4 linked regions of the Tamandua tetradactyla genome follow. The main gene of each other region encodes a partner of the protein of the gene in region 4 in a complex. Links are inferred from orthologs where the notes say so. Each region holds a gene or a part of one and is shown on either strand. Other genes may lie near its edges. The genes, in order: SNRPD3, SNIP1, ARMC7 and CRNKL1.

What was found.
Region 1: CRNKL1 (region 4) and SNRPD3 share a complex: the UniProt entries of both Homo sapiens proteins name them as parts of the minor spliceosome. The link is inferred for Tamandua tetradactyla from reciprocal best matches to the Homo sapiens genes CRNKL1 and SNRPD3.
Region 2: CRNKL1 (region 4) and SNIP1 share a complex: the UniProt entries of both Homo sapiens proteins name them as parts of the minor spliceosome. The link is inferred for Tamandua tetradactyla from reciprocal best matches to the Homo sapiens genes CRNKL1 and SNIP1.
Region 3: CRNKL1 (region 4) and ARMC7 share a complex: the UniProt entries of both Homo sapiens proteins name them as parts of the minor spliceosome. The link is inferred for Tamandua tetradactyla from reciprocal best matches to the Homo sapiens genes CRNKL1 and ARMC7.

The regions. Positions count from the first base shown.
Region 1 is NC_135331.1:25,394,174-25,401,449, forward strand, and holds the start of SNRPD3 (small nuclear ribonucleoprotein Sm D3), read left to right. Parts: upstream 1-4,264; 5' UTR 4,265-4,887; intron 4,888-6,299; 5' UTR 6,300-6,317; coding exon 6,318-6,443; intron 6,444-7,276. Other genes in the region: protein GUCD1, read right to left, coding at 329-413, 3,822-3,864. UniProt on the Homo sapiens protein: Plays a role in pre-mRNA splicing as a core component of the spliceosomal U1, U2, U4 and U5 small nuclear ribonucleoproteins (snRNPs), the building blocks of the spliceosome.
Region 2 is NC_135328.1:187,752,410-187,760,205, reverse strand, and holds the start of SNIP1 (smad nuclear-interacting protein 1), read right to left. Parts: upstream 3,013-7,796; 5' UTR 2,755-3,012; intron 2,003-2,754; exon of another isoform or gene 1,926-2,002; 5' UTR 1,913-1,925; coding exon 1,683-1,912; intron 687-1,682; coding exon 584-686; intron 1-583. Other genes in the region: DNALI1 (axonemal dynein light intermediate polypeptide 1), read left to right, coding at 3,115-3,195, 3,656-3,801. UniProt on the Homo sapiens protein: Required for pre-mRNA splicing as component of the spliceosome. As a component of the minor spliceosome, involved in the splicing of U12-type introns in pre-mRNAs. Down-regulates NF-kappa-B signaling by competing with RELA for CREBBP/EP300 binding.
Region 3 is NC_135332.1:15,527,650-15,535,200, forward strand, and holds the start of ARMC7 (armadillo repeat-containing protein 7), read left to right. Parts: upstream 1-4,532; 5' UTR 4,533-4,834; coding exon 4,835-4,925; intron 4,926-5,015; coding exon 5,016-5,159; intron 5,160-7,551. Other genes in the region: SLC16A5 (monocarboxylate transporter 6), read left to right, coding at 1-16, 1,231-1,481. UniProt on the Homo sapiens protein: As a component of the minor spliceosome, involved in the splicing of U12-type introns in pre-mRNAs.
Region 4 is NC_135327.1:40,346,145-40,352,987, reverse strand, and holds the start of CRNKL1 (crooked neck-like protein 1), read right to left. Parts: upstream 3,009-6,843; 5' UTR 2,898-3,008; coding exon 2,847-2,897; intron 635-2,846; coding exon 482-634; intron 1-481. UniProt on the Homo sapiens protein: Involved in pre-mRNA splicing process. As a component of the minor spliceosome, involved in the splicing of U12-type introns in pre-mRNAs.

The sequences.
Region 1 (7,276 bases), on a different chromosome or scaffold from region 4:
ATGTAAAACGGTCCCAGGAAGCGGGTCGGATACACGTGTGGTCCCTTCCAGCCCCAATGTTCCCACAGCCTCGGTTCAGCGCTTAGCTCCCTGGTGATACAGTCTCCCACAGCCAGGCCAAGGCCAGTGGGTGGAGGGTCCCCAGTCCCAGTCGTGGGACTGATCAGTGGTGCTGAGGCCTGGACACCCGGCAGGACCCCTGGCCCATCTCTGTAAGAGGGGACCAGCCCGGGGGGAAGCTGGGCCCCCCGCAGCGCCCTGGGGACAAGCAGTCCCACCGGGCCCCCCCACCCCCCGGCCCAGGGCAAGGCGCTGGCCGCACACTCACTGCAGCACCATCCTGGAGCAGGCCAGGCCGCAGTCCCAGTGGTAGAGCTGCTGGATGACGGGCACGGGCAGCTGCACAAAGTCCCCTGCACGGACACACAGGGAGTCACTGCTGCCCCGGCCACCCTGGCCTCAGCTGCCCCAGCAGCTTCCCCATCATCAGTCCTGTGTAACCCTGCAGAGGCAGCGTGGGGCCCAGTCCTCAGCCCCCATGCTGTCTCCCTGTAACAGCCAGTGACCTCCCCAAAACGCCAGGCCCCCAACGGGGGGGGGGGTTCCCTCTCTTCTTGGGAGAGTGCTGTTGTGGCTGCTGCCTTAATACCACGACTCCTTGCCTACCCTCGCTCCCACCAAGCCAACCCTCTCACTCCTGGTTGCCCAAGAGCCTGAGCTAAGACAGGACACTTACCCTGTGGGGCCCAGCTCCCCATTATATGCACGCACAGCCCCCCAAACCTCTCCCTCTGAGCCCCCTGGAACGAGCCCTGAGCAGGCTGTGTGGCCTCTGATCTGTATCCCAGGGCCGGCACGTAGGGTTACCCAGCAGACATGTAAGTCTGGATTCATAAGGCCCCTGGTACTGCCTGAAACCAAAGCCCCAGGACCACCCGAGTGCCACCTGCCACAAAGCAGGCGGGTGGGATGCCCTGCAGCTGTCCCTGGATGCCCTCTGATCCACCTTCACCACAGCAGTGAGGGGAGCAGAAGGGACCTGAGCTGGGCACCATGGGTGCGGCTCAGCCACCGGCGGCCAGTGCAGTGGGCAGCTGACTTCCTTGTGCTGAACTGGGGTGGGACTTGGATGTGATTCAGTCATTCAGTTGACAGATGTTTCCCGAGAGCCCACTGGGTGCCTGGCACGTGGACCGGAGAGCGGAAATGAGCTCGGTGGCCATGTCAAGGGTAATGGGAAGAACGGGTGCTAGGCTGGGGGAGACGGTGAGGGGTACCTAGGAGGGGGTGAGTCTGGGGGAAGCCCGGAGCAGTGCCATGTGTGCCCTGAGACCCGGAGGCTGAGCAGAGGGTGGTCTGTGGACAGAGAACCAGCTGTGCGCTGGGCTCGGTGAGCTGGCTGCGGCTCACTAGGACCATGGGTTCCTCCTCCTTTGGACTAAGGTCAGAGTCTAAAGAACCAAAAGGAACTCACCATTGCCAGCTCCCAGCCACATTACTCATTAATGACACCCGCCTGGCAAATGAAAACCCAGCCTGCTCTGAAGGTCTTGGGGGGGTGCTCCTGGGCTGTGCAACCCAGTCCCATGCCACATCATGGGGGGTCCTAGTGCCCCACTCCCCTACACACTCAGGAGGGGTCACTGGCTAGTCCTGGAGCCTGTCCTGGGCTTTCCAGCCTCTGCCTTTGCCTATGCAGCCCATCGACTGGCGGGCCCCCAAGCTCCTGTGCTCCTGCGTCTAACCGCTCCCCAGCCTTCGAGGCCTGGCTTAGAAGCCACCTCCTCCTGGGTGGGTGGGGGGTCCTAACCTCACCTGGCCATGCCCTCAACCTCCTCAGCACCCTGCCACACCCAGGACGGGAACTGTGCTTTCTGCCCTCCACCCCTCAGCTCACAGGGGCCGCAGCAAGACTACCGGGGGCAGGCCTGGGCAAGCAAAGGCCTGACCTCAGCACCAGGCCTCTGGATGGGGCATTCCATCCCTAGAGTCTAATGCTTAGCAACAACTCAACACCTTCGAAGGTGTCTGAATTATCCCCCCAAAGGGTTTGCCTGAGTGGAGGGTGCAGGTGCTGTGCCACCATGGCGTGGGGTGGGGGGTGCTTCTCTTTTCACGAACACCTTGCTGTCACCATGAACTGCCTTTTGGTTTTTCTCTACCCAGGCGGTTGACCTGCCCCCACCCCCTGGCCTTCCCCCTTGTAGATCCTCAGCCTGGAATGTCCTTTCCCATCTCTGAATGTCCAAATGCTCGAATCCCTCTCTGGGCCCCTCGGCGGAAACGCTGGATGCAGAGCATTGGCAGGAGCACCAAAGGGGGGTGGCTTTGCTCCCTCCAGGCCTCGGCCCAGGGTGGGCGCTCAGGCAAGCCTGGTGAGTGGAGGGTGATTTCCGGTGAGGACTTCACCTCAAGATGCCCGGGTCTGCCTGTCACCACGGCACCACACCCCCCTGCACCCCTCTCCCCCCGCCAGTTTCCAGACCACATCCCTCTGCTCGCAGCTGTCTTCTTACTCTGGGGTCACTGGATGACCTTTGGCCAGGCCTTCAACCCGGTCACTCTGTCCCCTGTGCCCACCTGCCAAGTGTGGCACCCCACAGCTCCTCTCGAGGGCCCTTGGAGACTCAGCTGCCCCCCGTCCTCTTGTCCTGAGCTCTAGAACCCCTTGATCCTGAGACCCCACAGGACCAAACACCCCCACAGGGCTGCCCCCAGCCTTAGCACGGGCAGGCCAGCCCATTGGGACCCAGAGAGGCTCCTGCGGGGGATGATAAGGGTAGGCAGGCCATGGCCTTCATGCCGATAACGGCTTCAGCCGCCCAAGCCCCACGCTGCCGCCGCATGTCGAGGCCTGGAGCCCAGGGAGGGCCACAGGAGGCCACCCGAGAGCCAGGGCCGGCCTGGCAAGGGAGGAGGGGAACTTGCCGAACTTCACACCCTCTGTCTACTCATCTGCAGAAGTGGAAATAGTAACAGTAACCTGCTTCCTTGGGTTGTTATGAGGGCTAATGCATACAAACAACTTAGCATGGTACCTGCCTCATAGAAGCCCCTACAAATATCAGTCATGACTCCACTGAGGGTGAGAACAGGCAACTGTCTTGCCTAAGACTGCAGAGTTAGATAACTAGAGGAGACAATGTGAATCCCAGTGGGCAAAAGACCCCCTGCTCCATGGTGCCACCAGAGGGGACTGCCACCGCTACCCCCCTCCACCACTGACACCTTAGGGTCAGGGTCCCCCTTGCTCATGACCTCTCCTATGATCCTTGGAGTTTGCAAACACTTTCCTTTCCCCCTCCCCCACTTCTCCAACCAGGCCCAGGGCACCAACTGCCAGTCTTGGGGCAGAAGGAAGAAACTAGAGGTTGAAAAATTCTAGCAAGACAAGGTGATGACCCAGGGGTCTGGGAGCCCAGGTGAAGGGGCCTCCTCTAGCTCGGCCCTCTCTGGCCACTTCCCTGCCCGACTCTGGGCCTCAGCTTGCCTCCAAGTTCCCCAGGGGACAGGGTCTTCCAAGGCGGCTCCCACTGGGCTTTCCACCTCTGATCATATCCCGGGAATCCCCACGGGCCGCTCCAGAGCTGACTGGGGTCCCAGCCCCGTGGAGATCAGGGCTCCCCGATGGGCTCGGGGCTCGGGGATGGGGGGCGAGGCGAGAGTGTCCAGCTAGACAGGTCTCACTCGAAGCTCTATGCTCGACCCCAGGCGGCGGTCGGCCCAAGGTCGCCCGGCCGGACCCTGCCTGCCCCGCCTCGGGGCGGGGTCCCCCTTCGGTCCCCCGGGAGAAGTCCGAGCCCTCGGGCGGAGGCACTGACCCGGCTCGAGCGGCGGTCCCGCTGCCTCCGCCTCCGTCCTCATGACCCGGGCGCGGGACGCCCATGGCCCCAGCCCGGCGCGGGCGGCGGCTTCGGCTTCGGCTGGGGCGTGAGCGCAGCCCACGACGGCCCGGTTCCGCCGCCGCCACCTCCGCCACGGCGGAGGGGAGAGGAGGAGGCGGCGGCCCGGCCGCCCCCGGCCCCGCCCCGGCCTTTCCAGGCCTCCTCCCGGGAGGCCCCGCCTCGCGCCGGGGCTCCGCCCTGGCCTGTGCCCCTGGAGGCCCCGCCCTTCCCACACCGAGGTTTCCGATAGGTCTTCGGCCCGTTGAGCTACGGCCGACTCGACCATTCGTAGGCTCGGCTGCTGGTTGGCCCTGCCCCACTCCTCACACCGACGCCTCCGTTTCCCGGAAGACCCGCCCCCGAAGCCCAGGCCATCGGCCCGCGCGGCAAGTCCCGCCCAGCCGGGTCTCGGTCCTTAGCCGGCCTCAGGTGGGCGCCGCAGGGGTTCCAAGAGACCTAGCTCTGCCCAGACCCCCCAGACGGACCGCAGTCTACTGTATACCTCGGTTTCCCTTTCTGTACAATGGAATACCTCGCGCCACTTACCTGGAGGCGCCAGGTTCCAACGACTAAATTGTGAAGGGAGGTCCCGGCCCTCCGCTCCACTGCCTGCCGTCCCCGATCTGAGGGCCGAGGTCCCGGATGCCCGCCTTGCAATCCATCGCGTCCCTGATGCGGGGTGCCTGGAAGCGCGAGCTGCCCTCTCCTCTGGCCCGCCCGAGGGTCGGGGTTTCCGGCGGCACCCGGGCCCTGTCATCAGCCCCTCTCTTCTGGGGCCGGAACTATAGTGCCACAGCCTGCGTTTCCCAGCCGGCGGAGTGAGGAGGAAGCCGAGGCGGGACCGCGCCCCCCACTGGAGAAAGGGAGGGGCGGGCCCTTCGCGCGGCATTTTGGGAACGCGGGGAATTCTGGGAGCGCGGGGCCCGCCATTCGCTCTCTTCACGCCTTCGTCGACACTCGAGTTGCCGCGTTACAGAAGAGGAGGAAACGGAGGCCGGAGCCGGTGAGGGAAGGCTGGAAATGGGTGAGGGGAGGCGGAGGCTCCCTGGGAGGGTTGGGGGCTGGAGAAGGCCACGCTGCCGAGAAGCGCCGAGGGTTGAGGGGAGGGGAGAGAGCGGGAAACCCGGGCCACGCAGCGTCAGCTTCGCGTTCACTTCTCCCCAGCTTTCTGGCTTATTTTGTTTGTTTCTATCCGAGTCAATCGTTTTCGAAGCCTCCAGGCCATAATCTCGACATCCTCTCTAATTGAATGTTTTCCCCTCCCCCCAACCCCCAGTCTCGTGTACGTAGTCATTTTCGGAAGGTAGGCACCGAATCCTTCTCCTCGTGCTTTCCACACTGTCGCCGGACCTTTAACAAGTCTCTCTGCTTCTGAGCTATATGTTTAATTCATCCTGTAAATGCTGCTTCCTTTTCATGGGGTCATTCCTTCCCCCGTCCTGCAGCAATTGGTTCCCTGCTGTCTGCAGCACAAAATTCGAACTCCTAAGGCTGAAACTCAGAGGTCCTCACCCAGGGAGCCCATCTTTCCCAACCTGAGGGCCCCTTTTCTCTCCACGTACATCCTTCCCCTTGCTTTCTTTTGGATGCACATGATGTGTTCCAACCTTCATTTTTGCTCACCTCAGAGTAAAAAGTCCGGTGTTTTTGCTTTTTTTAATTAGGTCAAGCCAGGCCCTTGCCCTGATTTTTCTGTCCTCTAAGATGAGCATTGTTTGTTTAAAGCAGGTTGTCATTTTGTGAGCACTTTAATGTTTTCTCTTTAGTCCCCGTGGTGAAGTGAATGGGGCACCAGTAGATACTCAGTGGATTGAGTTAAAAATGCAGCCTCCTCTCCAGGATTTGTCTGTGGATCCTTTGGTCCAAATCCACACTGTGCAGTTCGAAGCCACTGGCTGTTAAGCACGTGGAATGCGGCCAGTGTGGATGAGGAATATACTTTATTTCATTTCAGTTAATTTTAAATTTAAATCGTGACGGGCTGACAGTGCCAATTGTGTCTGACAGCTCATAGTTCTCAAAGTGAAGCATCACCCACAACCGTGTGTTGGCAGATGCATTGTGCAGCATATGCAGTTGCCCCACTCCCATATTGATGAATGATTATTTTGGTGAAGATAAAGGGACGTACCCTAGATGCCCCATACTGAAAAGTAGATGGAAAGTACTTTTGCGTTCCCCTAGTCTTATCTCTTTTCAGCCCCCCATTTCTCCCATCACCCAGCTTGCATGTGCTTCCTGGATAGACTCCTCCAAGCTGTGCTCTAAGCTCCTTTTTTCAGTAGTAGAAGAAAAACAGCTTTGGCATCTCTGCCAATCGTTTTGGAGTGCCAGGTCTTGAGGGAGGCATGGTCTGTCTGCAGTGCCTTCTCAAGCTCTGAAAGTTGAACTAACTGTTCTCTTTCTTGCTCTTAGAACTCTCTTCTCTCCAAGATGTCAATTGGTGTGCCAATTAAAGTCCTGCATGAGGCTGAGGGCCACATCGTGACATGCGAGACGAACACCGGGGAGGTGTATCGTGGGAAGCTCATTGAGGCAGAGGACAACATGAACTGCCAGGTATCTTGCTTGGCGCTTGAGGTTGTGGGGGAGCCTGGGCCTATGTGTTGGAGGACAGAAGAGTGATGATTGTGGGTTCTTTTAAATTTATTTTCATTCAGCAGTTATTTACTTAGTACTTAACGTGTGTCATTTTGTTGGAGGTGCCAGGGATGTGGGCATGAACAGGACAATCATGGTCTGGAGCAGAAGAGCTCTTTGGAAACTTTTTGTCCTCTATTCTCTCCTTCTCATAATTATTTTCTCCCATATCTTGGGGGCATGTTTGACAGAAGTGCCACTACTCCCCTCAAGAGACCATTTACCCTCCACATGTTCCCCTAACTACAGCTACTCACCTACTATGTGTATTTGCCTTTTTTTTCCCTGGGTTAAGAGGTTCTATTTGATTCTTCCAATTACCTTGTAAGGTAGGTAGATTTGGTGATAGTTTTGTCATCCATAAAATAGGGAGCGTGAGATTAAAGAACTCGTCTGCTGAACTTCACCCTGTTAATAAATTGCAGAACAGCCTCCTGGTGCCCTTCCATGTCCCTGTGTCCCTGGTATGCATTTTGTTATTTTTCATGTGGTTTTATATGGCGTTACTTTACAAAGTGTCTAGCACAGTTTCTTTGTTCTTTAAACAGCCAAGTAAGAGCTTGGGTTTTTAAATCAGTGAGAGATGTGTCTTTGAATCCTGATTGTATGACCTGGGGCATTTCAGTTTCCTCATCTGTAAAATGGAGATGATTTCACTTCAGGTACTCTGAGATGCACACATCAAGACAGAATTGGACATGCAAGAGATTTGTTTTGGGAAAATATCAATAGAGGATTAAAGGCAGGGAGGT
Region 2 (7,796 bases), on a different chromosome or scaffold from region 4:
AAATCCACACCATGGAATATTAGCAAGAAAAAGGAATGAACTATTGCTAGATGAATAGATCTCCAAAAATTCTTCTGAGTGGCAACAGCTAACCCCAAAAGGTTACATACTGTGTGATTCCATTTATGTAACATTCTTGAAATGATAAAATTACAGAAATGGAGGAAAAATCAGTAGATGTCAGCGATAGCAGTTGCCAAGGGTTAAGAAGGGGTAAGGGTGGGAGGAAAGTGTGTGTGTTTATAAGAGGTATGTGTGTGCGTGCATTTATATTTGTATAAAAATATATAAAAGAGATTCTGTGGTGATGGAAATGCTGCTTTATGACTCTATCAATGTCAATATTCTGATTGTGATACTATACTATATTTCTGCAAGATATACTACGGGGGAAACCAGGTAAAGGAATAATTCCCCGTTTTATTTCTTACAACTTCATACGAATCAACAAATATCTCAAAATAAACTTAATTTTAAAAAAAAGCAAAGCCCTTTTCTGGTACAGATGAAAACACCTTCTTTATCAATGATAGGAAAAAGCTATACCTTTGGACCTAAAGTCAAAGCACGCACTTCAACTTACCTGCTTCACTTTGACTGTGGAATGGTGAGGACTTCGGCTTCTCTTATTCCGAGGAGACTTGCCTCTTCTCCCTGAGGACTTGCTCTTCTTTTTGGCTGGGGACCTTTTCAGAGCATGGTACATACAAGATTTTATCTCAACGTCCCTTCCACCATGTAAATCAACTTCAAGTATCAGGCTTATCTACTAACAGAAACACACCTGTGAAGGTCTCTGCTAATCACAGAAAAGGAGTCAGGAGTCTCACTTTCCTATCCCTAAGGTCTTCCTTGAGTTCCAGACCCACCTATATAATTGCCTACCAGGACTTTTCCCTTAGAAAATATAACATTAAATTCCACTTCTGGTTCTTTGCACTGTTGTTTCCCCTGCCTGTTATCTTAACAAGGCTCGATCATTCTCATCATTCAGGCCCCCCGTTCAGAGAGGCCTCCTTCTGCCCTCCAATTCCTCACTATCACATTACTATTTGAACTTATCCTTAATATTTGTTACTAATTAAAACTATTTCATTTATTTGCTTTTTGTTTATGCCAAGGATAGAGAACATCTATTCCATCAAAGATAAAGACTGTCTTATTCATCCTTGAGGCCTCGTACTTGGTATAAGTCTAGGTGCTCAATAAAAATATATGTTGAATGAGTGAATAAATCATTGAGTCTCACAAATCTTTTTTTTTTTCTTCAGAGTTTCCATCAGGTAGATCTCCTGGGCCCTCAATGTGGGAACCTTTTGGCGCAAAGAATTGGAAGAACACCCGCCCTGGCTTGACGGGCAGACAGGGAAAACCTCTCAATTTAATAGATCTTTCAAGTTTAGAAACTATTAATGCTATCTTCTGGACCATACTCTGCTGGGTGCTGGAAACATCAAGATGAAGAGATGGAATCCTGCGCATTAGGCGCTAAAGGCCCAGCTATAAATCAGGTGGCAGATGCAGGCGTAAACGTTTAACTCAAGGCTGACTGAGTCACTTTCTTCGCCTCCAGGATTATGTCCAAGCTGCCGAGCCCAGCATTCGTTATTTCTGATGCCAGCCCTGCCCTCTCTTCTCAACGAAACCAACCCAAGATCCATCTCGGGCCTCTCTCCACTTACCGGCTGCCTCCTCGGACTCGGTTTCCGTGGTGACCCGGGCGACTCGGCTCGCCGGCAGGCAGGGACGGGCTTCCGCCAGACGACTCGGGTCGGCGGTGAGCTGGAGGCGCTGCTTCCGGGCTGAGGCGCTCCTGCTTCACCACCACCGCTGCCGCCGCCACCACCACCACATCTCCATCCCGGTGCCTTCGCCGGCTGCCCCGCTCCCGCTCATTCTTTACCTCCTTCATTCCGCGACCTACGCTGAGGGAAAGAAGAGATCGCTGGAGCTCGGCTTGATGAAGGAAATGACGGATTTGGCCCCTGGCTTTCCCCTTCCGGGGTGAGCGCTCTCCCAGAAACCCTAGCGGCGGAGACTCCAAACACGTGACCACGACCCCGTAGTGGGCGGGGCCGTAGTGCACTAGTTCCGGAGGCGGGAATTTCAAGTTTCAAAAGCAGCTTGGAAAGGGAACGGGATCCGGGCTGTAGGTCAGCGAGGACGCGTCCCCTGCTCCCACACAGGGACTGTCCTGGGAGGCCCCGGGAGAGGCGTGGCTGCCCTCCCTGAGAACTGTGCTCACCGCCCATTGAGGGGGCAGGGGCAGGCTTTAACATATCTGTATATATTTTTTTAACTGGGAAAGGAGATACTTTTGGAAAAACTGCAATTAAACCACATTATCAGGGGAAAAAAGCAACTTGGAAAAAGCTACATACTCTCAAGGGCTTGTCACGTCATTAGTAATTACAAAACACTGAAACAACTTAAATGCCTAGCAGTAGGTAATTGCCTAGCCCATTGATGGAATGTTATGTCGCCAAGGCAATGCTCTTTACAAACTATGGCGAATGGAAAAAGCGCTGACTTAAACAGAAAAAGTACAATACAAAATTGGGTCCAAATTCTGATTTCATTTACGTTCAGAAACACATGAAGAAAAGGAAAGGAGGAAATGCAATCATAGATGGTGGATTTTGGAAAATCAATAATGCTTTTTTCCTATTTTCTGAACTCTGTTATGTTGTAATTTCTCCATTTGATAAAAAAAATACTTTTTTAAAAAATTAGAAGTTTGGGAACTCCACATACCTTCCAACGGGAACCTTCCTCAATCAATCCTTCACTGGGAGATAACTCCCATTTTACAGGTGGCCTGATCCCTCATTCAAACGCAGTTTAACGGAGTTTAGAGACTCGAACTCAAGCTTATCCTGCTTCCAAAAGCCCAGGGGCAAGCGGGCGGGCTGGCGGGCAAGAAGTCGGGAAAGCTTAGCTGAAGGAGAACTTTCCGCAAACACAGGGCAAGAGAATGAGATTCGCTCGCCTCTGGCCCCGCCCCACACCGAAGCCCCGCCCAGGCAATGAGGCTTGGAAAGGGGGTTTCCATGGTTACGGCAAACAGGCCTAGACTAGAGGGGTGGCTGCTGGGTTACTACCCCTTGTGTCGCCATGATTCCTCCCGCAGACTCACTGCTCAAGTACGATACCCCGGTGCTAGTGAGCCGGAATACGGAGAAACGGAGCCCCAAAGTAAGGACGGCTCTCGGGGGTCCGGGGAGCCGGGACGTTCCGATGGAGGAAGACACATCTCGTTGAGGGTCTGGAAAACCGAGGGAGAGAGGCTGCAGGGGAAGGAGGGTGGAAAAGCAGCACAAGAAGGCCAGATATTGGATGTGCCTCCGGAAAGCAGATTTAGGATCAGACTTAATCTTTTTTTTTTGGTAGCCGCGTTCAATAATAAATCAGGTAGTGATTTCTCCATTGCTCGAGATGTGAAAGCAAAGCCCCGAGCACCCTTGCCAAAAATGGTTGGAGTGGGACCAGAGGCTCTTGATGGCCTCCTTTGACTTTGAGTCAATTTCTGCTGAGAAGACAGAAGGTAAACGTGAGCCAGGAATAGGGGAGGGATGTGCAGGAGACAGGAGGCCATCCAGGGGGCCAGTATGTGTGGAGCTGAGTGCCTCTTACCCGAGCCTGTCTATCTTTTCAGGCTCGGCCACTGAAAGTCAGCCCCCAGCAGCCTGGACCCTCGGGTCCAGTCCCACAGCCACCAAAGACCAAACTTCCCTCAACTTCCTCTGTCCCAGACCCTACAAAGCAGGCAGAAGAAATCTTGAATGCCATTCTGCCGCCAAGGTAAAAAAGCAGGAGCAGTACCTGGGAGAAAGCCCAGGCTTTTGCATCCCAGGACTTGGGAATATGGAAAAGACCCCTGCCTCTATTCCTAGCTTGAGTTTCCCCCCAGTATCCTAGAATTGCTAGAGTTTGCAGATACCTGATTCCTGGGAGGATGGGGAGGAGATGGCTTCTCTATCTACTCTCATTTCCTGAATGCTCTCATCCAATCTCATGGCTTTAAATACTATCCATATGCCAATGACTCCCAAACGCTTATTTCCAGCCCTTTCAGCTTCTTTAAACTCCAGACCCATATATTCTACTTCCAAAGATGTCTAATATGCATCTCGAACTCAAAATATCCAAACTAAGTCACGTTTTCTTCTTCCCCCAACCTGCTCATACTGTCTTCATCTTCTCAGTAAGTGGTAGCTGTCTTTTACTAGGTGCTCAGGCCATCTTTCATTGCCTTTAGTCTCTCATATCACATGTCTGATCCTTCATCAAACCCTGTTGGCTCTACCTTCAAATTATGTCCCAAATCTGATCCCTTTTCACCACCCCTGCCTCCAGCATCTCGTTCCAAGTCATTCTTTAGCATTGGCACTTCTGCTGCGGCCTCAAAGTTAGAAACCACTTTTACTCTTTGTCCCTACAATCTGTTCCCAACACAGCCCCTAAACCATAAATCAGGTCATGCCAGTCTTTTCCCAGAAGTTTCTAATGGCCTCCCATCTCGTGCCTGCTACAATCTGAAACCCTTACCATGGCCTGAAAGGCCTGGCATGATCTGTCTGGTCTACACCATGTCCATTGTCTTATCTGCTGTTACTCTCCTTATTTGCTGTGCCAAAGCCACATAGCCTCCACTTGCTATTTCTAAAACACCACAGTCTCTCTCCCACATCAAGGCCTTGGCAGTTGCTGTTCCTACTACTGAAGATGTTCTTCTCCCAACATCCCATTTTTTCACCCTGGTCTTGCTCAGATGTCATTTCCTCAAGGAATGTTTCCTTGAGCATTTTATAAGAGAGCACCCACTCTCCAACATGATCCCTTTACTCCACCTAATTCTTCTGCAACATTTATCACCACCAGACATAACTATTGGTTCATGGTCTGTGCCTCCTTTTCCCACTACTCGCATATAAACTCCTCAAGATCAGAGGCTTTGCTCTCTCCCCTGTGCATTCCAAAATATTTGTTGAAGGAAAGAACAAACGGGGTGCTCATCACACCAGAAGGCAAGTCATGTCAAATCGTAAGAATCATTTCCTTGAAGGTGTTTCCTCCAAAAATACTTATCTTTGGCTTGAAAGAGATGGAACCTCAGCAAATCGCATATAGATAAAGCATCTCTGGATTGTTTTAGAAGTTTCAGGAAAAGTTTGACACTTACGGAAGTTAGGTTTACAAGGTACTTGCCTGGTCAGGTGTCCACATGCTCTCAGAGCTTTTCCATTATCGCTAAGAATTGAGAGAGGAAGGTATAAAGTTGAGCCCCAGCAATTAAATGCTTCCACTCAAAAGGAACATGTGGCACTTCTGTTTCACATTGGGCTGCCAAATCAAATCACATAGCCCTGTCTCAAGGAGGAAGTAGACTTTGGGCCTGGAAAAAGAGGAGAACTGGATATCAGTGAACACCAATATTATGTCCATAGACGAAAGAAGCAGAGCTGGACTCCTGATATCTTTGAATTCAAAATCCATATACCTTTCCACCATGATAGACTATCTCCCGTGAGGCATATCTGAAAGCCTACATGAACCCTTTTGAGACATACAGATTTAGGATCCCCACAGTGGGCTGCTGGCATTGCAGGTGAAGTGTTCTAGTTTGGGAATTTGAATGTCCTATTTCCTCTCTCAGTTCAGCACACTAGTTACTGATTATTTACCATAAGCCAGACATAATGTCTGTATCTGAGGATACAGAGATGAAATTCTAATTTAAACAAAAACCTACAGTCAAGGAGCTTAGAGTTTAAAAGGACACACAAAGAAGTAAAGGTCTGTTTTAGTTGGCATTGCTCCTATAACAAAATACCGCAAACTGTTTGGCTTAAACAACAGGACACTACTGGCTCACAGTGGAGAGACTAGAAGGCCAAAATTAAGGTATTATCAGGACTTGCCTTCTCCAAAGTCTATAGCATTCTGGCGCTGGCTCACTAGCCAGCAGTCATTCTCTGCCTCTATTACATGCCGATCTGTCTCTTTCTGTCTTCTCCTATGGCTTGTACTTGTGTGTCCAAATTTCCTTTTTATAAGGACTACAGTCATACTAGATTTAGGCCCACTCTGGTTCAATTTGACCACATCTAAATAGGATCTTTGAAGATCATGTTTGCAAACGAGTCCATGCCAACAGGACTAGGAGTTGCAACTTGAACATGACTTTGTGGGGACATGATTGAATCCATCACAGCGTCCTATGGGAGAGCTTGACAGGAGTCTAATGGAACCATCCATTAGTCTGTTATGACACAGAGAGTTCATCTACTCCGCTTGCTGAGGGATCTTTCCTAGGAGCTGATTTTCGAAGTAGGGAAAGGAGTTTATCAGGCAAATGAGATGGGGAGAGCGCTCCAGGTAGGGGAACCAGCACATGCAAGGCAAATAGGGAGAATGAGGGGCGTGACCACATGGAGACTGAGTAGACAAGCATGGACTTGGATTGTGAAGGGTGTCTGTAGTCCAGAGTTTCTCAAACTGGACCACAACCCATTTATTCAATGAAATTAAGGTAGAGGCTAGTCCCAGCATTTAAAAACTGGAACAGGAAACGATAGGATAGAATAGAACAGAAAATAACAGATTACATCTCATGTCATCAGGGTAAATTTCATTTCATGAAACCTGTATCCGTTATGTGTGTGTGTGCATCTCTGTGGACGTGCACTTGTATGTATATGGAATCATGATGTTAACATCCATTTTTACGTTGAGTGCAGTCATAAGTGTGAGAGCTGCTGCTGTGGCAATAGGGAACCCCTGAAGAGATTTTTATCAAGGCAGAGTCACCATCAACTTTGTGCTTTAGAAAAGTCACTGTTGTGTGGTGTTGAGCGGCTGGAGACAAGAATGCCAGTTGAGTTCAGGGGGAAGGTGACAAGGCTTTGGCCAATATTGATGCAAGAGCCACCTAAATTTGGAAAGCTCAGTTGGCCCATGCTCGTGAGAGCTTCTCTGGCTCATCAGATGTCAGCAAGGTGTCCAGGCCACTACTGACCAGTCTTAGCTTCCCAATGAGACTGATCTCCAGGCAGCCAAGGGCACCCCCAGAATCAAGCCAGCGTAAGTGGGAACTAACAGGGTGGGGTAGTCAAGCCATCTGAACCAACTGAACCAGATCTTCAAAAGCTATGCCTTCTCAACTATTTTTAATGTAATGCAGTTTGTATGTAATGTAATGTAATGTAATGTAATGTAATACAGTTTTGAAGGCTGTGATGAGAAGGGAGACAGTAAAAAAGACCATGACCTCTTCACAGGTGGAGGTCAAAGGAAGGGAGCAAATGTTTCAGTTGCTTTCCTCCCATCAATGGTATAGAAGTCCTCTCCCCAATGACCTCTCCCCTCAGGCTGCTTCCTTGCGATTCCAGTACCTGGCCTTGCCAGGTTCATTATGGGGGGCCTGTGCAGGCACACACCTCCTAAGTACTCACCTACGCCTCCTGTTCCAACTCAACTCTTGAAGGTCTTGAGTCAATGCAGCCCCAAGCTCCAAACACACTAGGTACAGAGTCGGACATGAGTTTCATTAGGACTTGCAAACAGGAGCGGGTCTCCAGTGGTGGCCATATGGTAAAAATGAAAGTAGCACACTGCAAGGGTGGAAATGCAAGGAGCAGCTTATAAGGGTTTAGGACAAGGGCATTTCACAGAGTACGTGAATTGAGTTTCACATGACACAGGGATCTGGAGATTTGTTATCAACATATCTGTCAGGGAGAGGAGTTTTAATGTTTTACGGGATAAGTGGTCTACAATACCATCTGTACGTTCTT
Region 3 (7,551 bases), on a different chromosome or scaffold from region 4:
TCCCCGCCGATAGCCGGTGAGGCCCTGGGAAGGGAGGGTAGCCCTGATGGTGGAGGTGGGACAAGGGATGGGGACAGGGCACAGCCTGGACAGACTGGGGGCTCCTCTGGCACCTGCAGGGGCAGGAGCTTGGGGTCTGTCTTTCCCAGCACCCCAAGGGACCACACTGCAGCCTCTGCCCCAGTCAGTGTTTGGGGTGTGGGTGCCAGACCTACCAGGGTCCTTCATCTTCCTCTATGTGCCTCAGTTTCCTTATCAGGAAAGTGGGGGGTAATAATAGCATCTTAAACTCATCAGCTTGTTGTAAGGATTAGGAGTTACAAAGAGCTCAGCAGAGACCCTGGCACATAGTAAGTGGCACTGTGTAGGTGCTTGCTACGATTGACATCCTAATATTTGGAGGTTATAGTCACATATTCACATAGGTTCTCCTACTTCCTGCCTGTGGGGACCTAGGCAAGTTATTTTCCTTCTCTGAGCCACAATGTGGTCTGCACAATGTTGAAAAGAATGCCTGTCACCTATCAGGAATTCACCTGTGCCAGTCCCTAGGTGGGTGTGGCTGAATACCAAGACCCGGCCCCTCCACCCTTGGGCTTCCCTTCTGGAGGAGGGGTCAGGAATTAAAGAACCTGTCTGTAATTACGATGGTGATTTGTACAGAACATGGCGATAGGGATCCACATGAGAGGACCTAGGTGTGGGCTGCAGCTGAGAGCTTCATTCAGAGTAAATGAGAAAAGGTTTGTAAAGCGCTTGGTGCCAGGATGCAGGCAACAGACAGCATGTCGGGGCGGTTAATACAGTAAGACCCAGCAGGTCGACTCCAGTCCAGTGGGAGAGCCTTCCCCCAAGTTCTCCAAGCAAAGCACACAGGAGGAAGTCTGGGCAGAACCTGGGAGGTGGCTGTGCAAACATCCCAGTCTCCACTAGTCCAGTCTTCTTGGTTCCCAGCCACCAAGGGTGAGAAGTCACCCCTTAAGTTGCCCTCTGGCCAAAATTTTTTGAGAATTCTCCCTGCCCCAGGCCAAAGTAGATAAAGCATTTCCTCCCCTCCTTTCATCCAACAATGATCTTTATCAAGTACCTTCCAGGTGCCAGCTATGCCTCCTGGCACTGTGGACAAAGAGAAACAAAAATAAAGTCCCTGTTTGTGGTGAGCATAGTATGGTGGGGAGGGGAGTATCCAGGAGCCCTGGGCAGTGGCCTGACTTGCTCTCTGTCCCCCAGGATTCCTGCTGGATGCCACCAACAACAACTTCAGCTATGTTTTTTACATGTCGAGCTTCATCCTCATCTCGGCTGCCCTCTTCATGGGCGGCAGCTTCTGTGCCCTGCAGAGGAAGGAGAGGCAGGGCAGGCAGGCTGAGAAGGAAGGAGCCATCATGGAGGCTGCCCCGGAGCAGGAACTTTTCCTGGAGGGCACAGATGGTCCTGGCAAGCGGCCGTGCCCCGAGATCATGTATGTGACCACTGTCTGAGCCCTGAGGTTAGTGAGTGACCACTGTCTCAGCCCAGGAATGGCACGTCAGTTGCTTCACCAGAGGCTGTGGCCAAGGGCTGCCCCAGGGAGCTTGGAACAGGTTTCACAAATGAGACCTGGCCAGGAGCTGGGACCTTGGATGCTGCCCTCCGAAGGCTCAGAGGTATTTCCAACCAGCAGAATCCAGGAGTGGATTCTTCTGACTTTTTCCCTTGGGTTCCACCAACCGGGGGCCCAGGAAGGCTTGGGTCTGACATAGCTGACTCTGCTCAGCTGGCCACCCATGACTACTCCCACAACTCAGCACAATGAACTTTCCAGTCCAAACTGCATGCCTTCAGCGTGATCACACTTTGTCTTCGAGACAATTCCAAAGAGCTCATCCCTCTTTCAGGGCCCTCCTGCCGTCCTCCTTCCCAAGTGACCCAGCCCCTGCCCTTGGCAGCCACAGCTGGCCCAGGCTGCCCCCACCACAGGTTGCCTCACACTGACTGGAAGTCTGGGATGAAGGGACCCATGAGAGACTGTGATGTGGCCTGCGGGCTGGAGGGCCAGGCTGAGGAGTTGGCCTGGACACAGGATTTGACAGATTAAACGTTGGGTGGTGTCCCCATCCTGGTGTCTGTGCAGAGATGTGGAGGGGAGCCCCTGGTGAAGCCTAAGGGGACTTCCTCCTCATTTAGCAGGGTCTGCTCTAGGGTCTCCTTCCCTCCTTTGCACCCCCACCCTGTAGTCTTGGCATAGAACATCAGGCCTGGTATGGGAGGAAGTCAGGCGGTCAGTTGTCCAGGGGAGAAGAAGACTGGCTAACTAATGTCCAGGGACCTTTGTGAAAATAGGGCTGCTTTTGTGAAGGAAGCCCTTGCACTTCCCTCTCCTGCCCTCCCAAGCCCCCTTCACCCTGCTATGTCAAGGCGTCAGCTGAGGGTAAGGAGTTGGCTGGGCCGGCTGCCAGTCCACTCCTGGGCCCTGGAGACCAGAGCTTCCCTCTGCACTTGGCCGGTGCCCTTCCCTGAGGTCACCCCAAGGCCCTCCAGGGACTGGCTGTCATCAGCTCAGACTTGTCCCAGCAGGATACCCACCTAGGGGGGGGGATGAAAAACAGGGTCTGTTTGAATTACATACAAAAACACTCCCTGCAGCGGATTATGAATCACTGGAGATTATGAATCCAGTGAACTCTTAAGAGAACAGGCCTAGAGGACATTCCCTCCTCTCCACTTGGCAGGGGCTTTGCAAGGCTTCTCAAAACCTTGTTGATTCAGGCTCAGCCAGGCTCGGACAAGAAAACCTTATCAGGCCAAGGAGAATTGATTTCATTTTCATAACCTGACCCCAGCCTTCCTCCCCACTGATCCAGCGGGTGTGAATAAGCATCCTTGGGGATGTCCTCCCGACTCCCCCAGGAGCCTGTCACGAGTGCCCCCTATTAGTCAGTCGTGGTAGTGCAGGGGCAAGGCAAGAGTACTGGGCTGGGACGGAGACCAGAGTTGATGTTGAACTCAGAAACAACTTGCTGTAACTTTAGGCAAATTGTTCCCCATCTCTGGGCCTTTAAAAAGGAGCTTGGCCTGGATGAGCATGCTCTGAAGGAGTAGAAAAGAGGGCAGTTGGGGGCTGGTAGGTAGATTAGTACTTTGATATGTTGTGTCTCCCCATATAGGCCCATTTCCTGAAAACAAATTTATTTTAAGGAAAAAAAAATTGAATATTCAACATAGAGTACTTTGACCCTGACCTCATTTCCCCCCAGGCAAAAGTGGCAATAAACCCTGGGCAGAATCCCTTCAACAAAAAATTTTATTGAGACCTTAAAGACCTGGTCGCTGCCTTCAGAACAAAACAAAGGACTAAGAATTCTTTCCCAAGGAGAAGGATCCCTGAGGGTTTGGGAGGGAATAAAGCCAAACACTTGAGGGATGGTGGGGTGGCCCATCTAATTCTAGAACCCAAATTTAGCTGATTAGCCTGGGACTAGTCTAGAGGACCTGGGGCAACTCCTGCCTCCAGGCCTTTGCTGTTCAATCCAGGCAGAGAGCTACATGTCTCCCAGCTTTGGACTGTGATGCATGTCCCTGTGCCACTTCAGCTCCTCACAGAAGCCAAAGACCTGGGGAGGGGGCTGGGGCCACCACCCTCTCCAACAGTTTGGGTACCCTGAGCTCCGACTACTGTTAAAACCGCTCCAGAGGGTGTGTGCAGAACAGGGCTGACCACAGGGACCTAGTAGGTCTGCAGAAAGTAGGGGCCTGCTCCCAAGGGAGCTGCTGCTGGCTGGACTGTTGTCACTGTCCAGCCTCTGGATGTCACACGGTCCTCACCCTCAAGAAGCTCACGGCCTAAGCCCACTTCCCCCCCACATTTTCAAGCACAATGGGAGTGGTGGTGTTACCTCTTTCCCTGATGCTCCAGTCCCGGGCACCCACGAGGTCCGTTACATACCTCCTTTCTGGGAGGTCCTGAGAAGGAACTGGGCCGGAGGACTTCGGCACCCAGGACCCCACAACCCAGAAAGCCGCCAGTGGGACACATGGGTAAACCCAGGTTCCTTCTAGGGCTCACCGATGCTGTCCCAGGCGCCCCCGCCTGCCTTGCTAACAATGAGCCATGGGATAGTCTCCAACCCGCGTGATTGATGGCCAGAGGTGGGGAGGAGGGGGCGTCGGACTCGCCCAACTTTTTGGAAAAGCCGCCCCAATTGTAAAGTCATAGGACCGACACGGGGAACGGGGAGCTGACGCAAGAGCTACGCAGGAGCGTCCCTGGGCCGAGGAGGCCAAGTTGCGACCCCCGCCAAGTATGTGGAGGTCTGGAGGTGCCTCTGCCTCGACGAGCCCCCACAGCGGTGCCTCTGATTCCCCAGAGGCGCTCCTTAACGCCACCCCCGACCCTCCCACCAACCTGAGGCCCATTCTCTGCTCGCGGTCGGACTGGTGCCACAAAGTACACCCCGAGTAACGCGAGGGAAGCCACGCCCCTTTCCCCGCCCCTTCCGCCCTGCGGGGTGGGAACTAGCACAACTTCCGCCGGAGGCCGGAACCCCGCGGAGAGCAGAGCGTTGGAGTCGGGGATGCGGATGCTGGTCCCTCCCCTTCCGCTTTAAGTGGCAGGGACACCCGGGTCTCCAGTTCCCCAATTTTGACTTAGCGTCCCGAGACCCCATCCCACCCCCACATCCCAGTCTAAGCCTCAAGTTACAGCACAACCTGAACCCAGGAAAAGAACCCGTTTCCCGTCCCGGCCCCGGCTTCTCCGACGGGTGGTCGGTCCGGTGAGGTCCACGTCTGGCTGCCCGGCTTCGCCTCCCACGCCCTCCCCGCCCGGGCCCCGGGGCCCTCCGCCGCGGCGACGATGGCCCAGAAGCCGAAGGTAGACCCTCATGTCGGGCGGCTGGGATACCTGCAGGCGTTGGTCACGGAATTCCAGGAGACGGAGAGCCAGGGTGAGAGCCGCGAGTGGGAGCCAGGGGCCGGGGTGGAGGTGCGGCCGCGGCCGCCGGGGACCTGCCTCCAGCGCCGCTTTCCCGTTGCAGACGCCAAGGAGCAAGTCCTGGCCAACCTCGCCAACTTCGCCTATGACCCCAACAACTACGGGTATCTGCGGCAGCTGCAGGTCCTGGATTTGTTCCTTGATTCGCTGTCAGAGGAGAATGAGACCCTGGTGGAGTTTGCCATCGGTAAGGATGGGGTCGCCTTCTCCCCCCACCCCCACGAGCCCAACCTTCCCCTTGCACTGCCTGGGAGGCTGGAGTGAGATCAGTGAGAAGTGAGTTCTTCGGAAGGGAGTCTTAAGCAGCCCCTCGGCTGTAAAGGCAGATCTTTGCGATGTCTGTTATGCCTCCTCGGTTGTCCAAGGTCACAGGTAGTTTGAGACAAGCCTGTAACTTCACACCCAGGACCCTCTCTCTCCTGCTTAGAGGCGAGATCACAAATGAGGGAATGGATTGAAGCTATTTTGAGATTACTCTGTCTTTAATGTTTTAATTTCAAAAAACATAAGGATGACTTGGGCTCTCTAGCTTATAGCTCCTGAAGTTGTTATGGTCTTACGACCTATTGAATGTATGTTTATTGGGTCTGTCCTGACAGCAAGGTGCTGTTCTAAGAGGAGATGTCAAACAAGTTGGGAAAATGTGTTTGTCCTCAGGGGGCTTACATTCCAGTAAAGAGAGAATTGGTGAACAAGCAAACAAAAAAGGTGATACTGTGAACCGAATTGCCAGGGGTAAGATAAATCAATAACAGTTGGGGGCTACTTCCATTTTGGCCATCAGAGGAAGGGCGTATAGGCTGAGGCATGGCATGGACAAAGACCTGAAAGCAGGAAGGAGCCAGAGGAAGGTTAGTGTGGCAGGGCTGTGGCAAGTAAAGGGGAGAGTGGTATAAAAGGAGGTCAGAGGGTTTGGCAGTGCCAGAGCTTACAGGGCCTTGGGTCAAGGCTATGTGGAAAGAGCTTGGAATTTATTCTGAGAGCAAACAAAAATTATTTTTTCATTATACATCTTTAAAAAAAAAACATATCTCTATTTAAAAATAACAGTCCTCTAAGTGACAGGAGTTTTATTTACATAGGCAAAAGAAACTTTTAATAATAATTCCTAATATTTACCCGGTATGCACATCTCTTCAGTAGTCCCCAAAGGGACATTTTGTTGTTGTCGTTGGTTAGGATAAGCCAGGATCCAGTCCAAGATCCTTGAGTTTCCTCTGGTTGTTAAATGGTCCCTTAAATCTCTCTTTCTCTGTTTTTAATCAACATTTTAAGTTTAGAACAGTTTTAGAAAAATTGCAAACATAATACAGAGTTCCCATATACCTGGGTTCCCCTGTTTAGCGTCTGACATTACTGTGATACATTTGTTGCAGTCAGTGAACCAACAGTGATATATTATTAAATTAAAATTTGTACTTTATGCAAATTTCCTTTCTGTTCCTGGATCCCATCCAGAATCCCACATTACATTTATGTTTTTTTTTTTATTAAATTTTTTCTCTTTTACAGAATCTTTATTACGAATGGTCAGTGTTAAAAGTGTGAAATGTATAGAAGCCATTGCTTGTGAAGTCATTTGCGTGCTCTAGTTGTAGAGATGCAACATCAAGTTCATTGCTACATATGAGTACAGATTTTCTTCCTGGGCTATGTGATTTGGAGTTTGCTCTCTTTATCAGAGTCATAAAAGTTAAATCATACTCTGTCTTTCCTTTTATGTCTGGCTTATTTCACTCAGCATTATATCCTCTAGGTTCATCCATGTTGTCAGTGCTTCAGGACGTCATTTCATCTTACCGCTGCATATAGTATTCCATCGCGTATATATACCACATTTTGTTTATCTGCTCTTCAGCTAATGGACATTTGGATTGTTCCATCTTTTGGCGGTTATGAATAGTGGGTGCAAATGTCTGTTCATATCACTGTTCTCAGCTCTTCTGGGTATATACCCAGTATTGGTGTTGCCAGGTCATAGGGCACTTGATATTTAGTTTTATAAAAACTGCCAGACTGTCTACCACAGCTGCTGAACGATTGGTTATACATTTCTACCAGCAGTGCCTAAGTGTTCTGGTTTTTCTACATTCTCCTGTTTGTTTAATAGCAGCCATTCTTATAAGTATGAAATAATATCTCAGTATAGTTTTGATTTGCATTTGCATTATAGCTAATGAAGATGATATGCTTTTTGACCATTTGTTTTTGCCCTTTGGAAAAATGTCTATTCATATCTTTTGGCCATTTTATAACTGGATTGATTGTTCTTTAGTTGTTGAGTTGTATAATTTCTTTATGTACACAGGATAGCAAACCTTTATCCGATATATGGTTGCCAAATATTTTCTCCTGTTGAGTTGGCTGCCTCTTCATCTTTTTGACAAACTCGGCTGCCTCTCCATCTTTTGACAAACTCCTTTAAGGCACAGAAGCTTTTGATTTTAAGAAGTTCTTATTTACCTATTTTTTCTTTCGTAGCTTGTGCTTTAAGTGTAAAGTTCAAGAAGTTACCTCTTATTACTAGGTCTTGAAGATGTTTCCCTATATTTTCTTCTAGGAGTTCTATGGTACTGGCT
Region 4 (6,843 bases):
ACATACAACTCAATGAGACTAAAAGTAGATACAACAGGATTAGTGTATATTGTTAAAAACACTATCTTAAATTTAAAATATTCACACACTCCAGCGTGGGAAAGTCAAATCACATTCAAGTCTTTTCACCACTTTTTTCATATCCCCATTCTTAAAACAGAAGGGAAGTGAGACAAAAATATATAATACATTTGCTAAGTACACCCTTCTTACAGTTGTCAGTTGTTTCACAAATCTTCAATTTGGCATCAAAAATAACGACTCTGGTGGAGTTAATGTCTTTACACTTTAAAACAGACAACTCATGGCATCGTTTAGAGTTCAGCAAAAGGTAGTTATCTGGTAACCAGAAGTTATATTATTCACATGGCTAGAAACACTAATCTTATCTTAGAGACTCTCTAATGTGCACCTTTTCAAACTCTAACCTATAAATTCTTGTCAATACTGACAGACTCTCAAAAATATCACATGGACTCACCTTCCTTTTCCTTAGTTTATAATCATTTAACTCTTCTTCATCTGTGATCTTCTGTTGCGGTGGAGGTGGAAGTAGCTCAAGTTCTCTTTCTTTAGCTTCTCTTAAGAGTTGTTCAGCAGTTATCTGTACCTCAGCAGGGGCTTTGTTTTTCACCTTTTAAGACAGAAGACATTTCTAGTTTGGGTAGATGCTCTTCACATAAGATTTTTTAAAGAACCAAAATTTTTTTAGGATGTGAACTTCATGCGTATTATCATAAAATGCTCTATCTGTATGACATGTTTCATTTTTCTATGAGACTGTAAAGAAAAAATATTATGCTTACTATCTTGTATATTTTATCTATTACCAAAGCCATAAGTAAAAGAGTTAAGAAGACAGGTAGTGATAATAGCAAGTTTGCGCTTTAGCTTAATATAACAATAAACTTTGGGGCTGTCTGGGTAAAATTCTCACCAGAGGTATTGCTTTATCAAGATGTGTACCATATCTTATTTGGCATTACAACCTCTATTTATGGGACTCCTCAGTTTATCTTGATGCCCTGAGGGGACGACAGGGACTGGATTTTATTTTTTTATCTTTAACGCAGTTTTATTAACATATTCACACACCATACAAACCATCCGAAGTATACAATCGCTGACCCACGATATCATCACATAAGTTGTGCATACGTCACCTTGATCAACTCTAGAACATTTTCATTACTACATAAAAGCAATAAAAAGAAAAAAGAAAACCCAAATCCTCCCATATCCCATTAATGACTCATAGTGTGGCACATCTGTTACTGCTGATGAAAGAATATTAAGATATTACTGTTAACTATAGTCATTAGTTAGCAATATGTACATTTTCCCCAGTGCACCCTACTATAATTAACTCCTTGTAATAATGTTGTACAATTGTTCTAGTTCATTTAAGAACATTTTTTATATTTGTACAATTAGTCATTGTCCATCACAAGATTCACAGTATTATACATTCCCATGTTTTAAGCTCCAACTTTCCTTCTGGTGACATACATGACTCTAAACTTCCTCTTCCTACCACATTCAGACACCATATAATACTGTTATTCTCACAATAATGTGTTACCATCGCCTCTACCCATTTTCAAACAATAGGGATTGGTTTTCAAATCACCTCAAGTCAAAGACAATATTGAACATGTTCTCATGGTTAGATTATAAACTTCTTGAGGTCTTAGAGCTGTGCTGTCCAACACAGTAGCTATGGCCCAAATATGATGAATTCAAATGAGATTAGCTTTAAACGCAAACTACATATAATTTTGAAAATTTAGTATGAAAAAGAATGCAAACTGCCCCATTAAATTTTTTATATTGACTACATGTCAAAATGACAAAATTTTAGATATACGAGGTTAAAAATGTTTTTTAAATTAATTTCGCCTGTTTTTTTTAACTTTTTAATGCGGCTATGAGAAAATTTAAAACTACATATATTTCGTTTGAACACACTATATTTCTACCGGAAAGCACTACTTTAGATCAAGTCCTGCTCGGTATTGGTTCCTTCAGGTCTATTTTATATAGAAGGTACTGAATAAAATTTATGAAATTGAATTATAAGAAATATTTAATGCCACATGTAAGTAATGAGCACTGTGTCCCAGATACTGTGCTTTATTTGCATTATCTCTAGGAATCATATCTAAATAGAGATGAAAACGCCAACCTCAAGAGACACATCTGGACTGGAGACAGACAGGAGATAACGATGTTTGGAAAGGATGAGCACAGAGTTTGACACATATTAAGCACCCGGTAAATATGAGCCATGGATTGAACTATCAGATAATATTAAGCTTACTATTTAATTCCATTTACGCAGCTCCACAACCCTTGTAACCTACTCTCATTCCTTCCAGTCTCCGCTGGCTTAACTCTTACTCAGCCATCAAGTCTCAGCTTAAATATCACTTCCTCAGCAAAGTTTTTTTTTCTGAAGACTCCCCGCTTCGCAGAACTCCCCTTATTCTCGCCCATGGCATCTTCCACTTTGCTCCAGTAGCTTTAGGAGGTTGCAACGTTACATTTAGCGTAAGACACAGGCGCTAAGCGCCAACACAATAAAACTGTGCTGAATGACCTCTCTCCTCGTCCAGCAAAAACACCTTCCCAAAACTAAAGCCATGCCGACGCGGGTCGTGCTCTGGGGAGACAAAAGCCCGCGCCAGACCACCGGCTGACCCTCCCTGTCTCTTCTCCCGCGGCACCAGGCGGGGTGGCCCTGGTCCCGGGATAACATTCGCCCCTGCCCGGGCACCACGGAGGTTGGGTCTGGGGGAAACTCTTCTTACAGGCCCTCTCCCACAAGATCCCTCGCTATCGCCTACTTTGGCCACTTTAGGAATCCGCTGCTTCCCGGCCGCGGTGGAGGCCGCCATGTCGGCAGCAGTGCGCCACACGCCACCCCTTGAACGGCAGAAACCTGCTCCGAGTATTCGGAGTATACTTCGAGTATTTGGAGCATACACTCCAAAGCTTTCCGACAACAAGCGGAATTCCGGAACCGGAACTGAAGCCGGAACCGATTTGATGACCCTTAACCTCTAACACGCGCCGTGACGGAGGCAGCGCCGTTTCTGTGGTAACCGGGTTGTGCGTCCTCCGAAGCTGCAGGTAAGGTGGGCAGTACTAGCCTGGCCGGGAGGGACGTGGAGACTGGGTTCAAGGTGTCAGCGGAGCATTCCTAGGTCAGTCACCGGGAATACGAAGACAAGGGGAACCGCCGCGTTTTAGAGATTAGGGACCGAGGTCCAATTCGGACGCTATCGAAGGTTGGAGAAGTTAGGGCGGCTAGGAAACTACCACTCCCAGCATGCCCTGCCGCGAGCTGCTGCGCTCCCGGGCGGCCTGGCGCCGCGTTGCATTCTAGGCTTTGTGGTCTCTTAAGTGTGAGGTCCACTCCCTCCGTTTCGAAACAGTTGTGCCCAGAAGATTAATGCCAAGACTCGGAAGTTAAAAATAATGGAAGATATTTTGAAGCCAGATATTAATCACAAGAAAATAATGAAAGCCAGCCTAGTGTCTAAGTAGCAAACCACCCAGCTTTATGGTCATGTAAATAAATTCTCTGTGAGTGTGCCTTATTTACTTACTCTTAGCCTCAACGTCCTCGACTAACGACAGAACAATAATATCTATTTCACAGGGATTAAAGAGAAAATCGATGTAAAGTGCTCCATAAATATTAACTTGTATAATTCTTGACCAGCCTTCAAAAATAAAAAAATGAAGTATGTGCGAACAAATGGTTAAGAGAATTATGACAGTTCAAGTCTCTGGTGTTTGCCAGAAAAAAAAATATTTACGTATGTAATAATATCAAGTTTACTGCTTTTATCTATGCAGATATTTATTTCTTAAAAAAAATTTAAGCTGATTTCCCAAACTGCAACCGTTTGTAATGAAGATCAAAATATTTCCAATAACTTTGTACCATCTATATTATCTTTAAATACTTCTATTTAAATATTTAAATAGAAGATTGTTTAGTGAGTACCCTTAATTTGTAATAATGTTTAACAAAGTTTAAAGTTAGTAATCTCTAGCCTCCTCTCAAAGATACAAATACCCTAGAATACTTTACTTCTATTTACTGTGCTTGCATCTCACATGTTTTATTCTCTGGTGATTTAGTGCAACTTTACTTTTAAGCAGAAATTTATCATTATTATTACTTTTCTTTTTGCCATCAATGCCTATTTAGATATACCTTCATGTTTACTGTTTTTTTCCCTCAGAACTGCATCTTGCATTCCAATCCTTTCTGATTTTAATTTTTTTTTCCTTCCTGGAATTCATCTTTTACTGGTTCTTTCAACAACTTTCTTTGAATGGTATTCTCTCTCAGTATGATTTCACTTTCATCTTTAGGTATAGAAGTTTGGCTTTGTGGTCTCTTAGCTCTGAGGTCCACTCCCTCTGTTTTGGAATAGTTGAGGCAGTTTTCCCCTCAGAACTGAAATGGTTTTCCAGATTTGGCCCATACCCTGTTTTTGTACAGCCTGTGAGCTAAAAATTTTTTTTAACATTAAAAAAACTTTTTTTGAAAAAAAACGAAAGAATATTTCATTATACATGAAAGTTATATGAAATTCAAATTTTTGCATCCATAAATAGAATTCTATTGGAATACAGTGACTTCTTTTTTTTTCCAGAATCTTTTTTTAAATTTTTTTAAAATTTATTTATTAATTAAAAAAATAAAGAAACAAAATAAAACAACATACATAATCAGTAATTCACAATATCATCACTTAGTTGCATATTCATCATTTCTTAGAACATTTGCATTAATTCAGAAAAAGAAATAAAAAGACAATAGAAGAAGAAATAAAATGAACACAGGAAAGAAAAAAAAGGATTATACCTACCATACCCCTTACCCCTTGCTTTCATTGTTCACTAGCATTTAAACTAAATTTATTTTAGCATTTGTTCCCCTTATTTATTTTTATTCCATATGTTCTACTCCTTTGTTGACAAGGTAGATAAAAGGAGCATCAGACACAAGGTTTTCACAATCACACAGTCACATTGTGACAGCTGTATCATTATTCAATCATCCTCAAGAAACATGGCTACTGGAACACAGCTCTACATTTTCAGGCAGTTCCCTCCAGCCTCTCCATTACATCTTGAATAACAAGATGATATCTACTTGATGCATAAGAATAACCTCCAGGGTAACCTCTTGACTCTGTTTGGAATCTATCAGCCATTGACACTTTGTCTCATTTCCCTCTTCCCCCTTTTGGTCGATAAGGTTTTCTCAATCCCTTGATGCTAAGTCTCAGCTCATTCTAGGGTTTTTCTCAATCCCAATGAATCCCCTCCATTCATTCCGAGATCTCTGTCCCACGTTGCCAGGAAGGTCCACACCCCTGGGAGTCATGTCCCACATAGAGACGGGTAGAGTGGTGAGACTGCTCATTGTGTTGGCTGGAGAGAGGGGCCACATATGAGCAACAAAAGAGGCTTTCTTGGGGGTGACTCTTAGGCCTAAATTTTAAGTAGACTTGACCTATCCTTTGCAGGGTTCAGTTTCATATGAACAAACCCCAAGACTGGGGGCTCTGCCTATATCTTTGGTTGTCCACACTGCTTGTGAGAATATCAAGAATTCAACTTGGGGAAGTTGAATTTCTCCGCATTCTCACCACTCCCCGATGGGGGCTTTGCAAATACTTTTCCACTCACTGATTGAATCACTCTGGGATTCATCGGGGCATCACTCTGGACAAACCAGCAAAATCTCATGTCCAACCTGAGATTCCAAGTACTTATGGTGTTCAATCAAACTATCTACATAAGTTATATTAGGAAATGCACTAGTCAAAATATAAATTTTGTAACTAATAAACATTTTTTGCTTTAGTCTCACAGAGAAGGTGACATTTAAAAATATTAATTACCATCTATTTTCAGCACCCTGCAATAATGACATTCCTTTGTTCTTCCTCATGCAAAAACATTTTTAAAATTGTACCTTGTACATTTCACTATCATACACTCTAGGCATTCCTAGATTATACCATCTCAATCTTTAACATCTATCTTTCTTTCCAATTTCATTTATGTCCCCAGCCCTCCTCCCTCTATCATTCTCACATGCAGCTTCATTCAGTGTTTTAACATAATTATATTACAGTTAGGTAGTATTGTGCTGTCCATTTCTGAGTTTTTGTATCCACTCCTGTTGCACAGTCTGTATCCCTTCAGCTCCAATTACCCAATATCTCACCCTATTTCTATCTCCTGATGGTCTCTGTTACAAACAAAATATTCCAAGTTTATTCACCAATGTCAGTTCATATCAATGAAACCATACAGTATTTGTCCTTTAGTTTTTGGCTAGTCTCACTCAGCATAATGTTCTCAAGGTCCATCCATGTTGTCACATACTTCATAAGTTTGTTCTGTCTTAAAGCTGCATAATATTCCATTGTATGTATATACCACAGTTTGTTTAGCCACTCATCTGTTGATGGACATTTTGGCTGTTTCCATCTCCTTGCAATTGTAATAATACTGCTATAAAACATTGGTGTGCAAATGTCTGTTTGTGTCTTTGCCCTTATGTCCTCTGAGTAGATACCTAGCAATGATATTGCTGGGTCATATGGCAATTCTATATTCAGCTTTTTGAGGAACCGCCAAGCTGCCTTCCACAGTGGTTGCACCATTTGACATTCCCACCAACAGTGGATAAGTGTGCCTCTTTCTCCACATCCTATCCAGCACTTGTCATTTTCTGTTTTGTTGATAATGGCCATTCTGGTGAGTGTGAGATAATATCTCTTTGTGGTTTTGATTTGCATTTCTCTA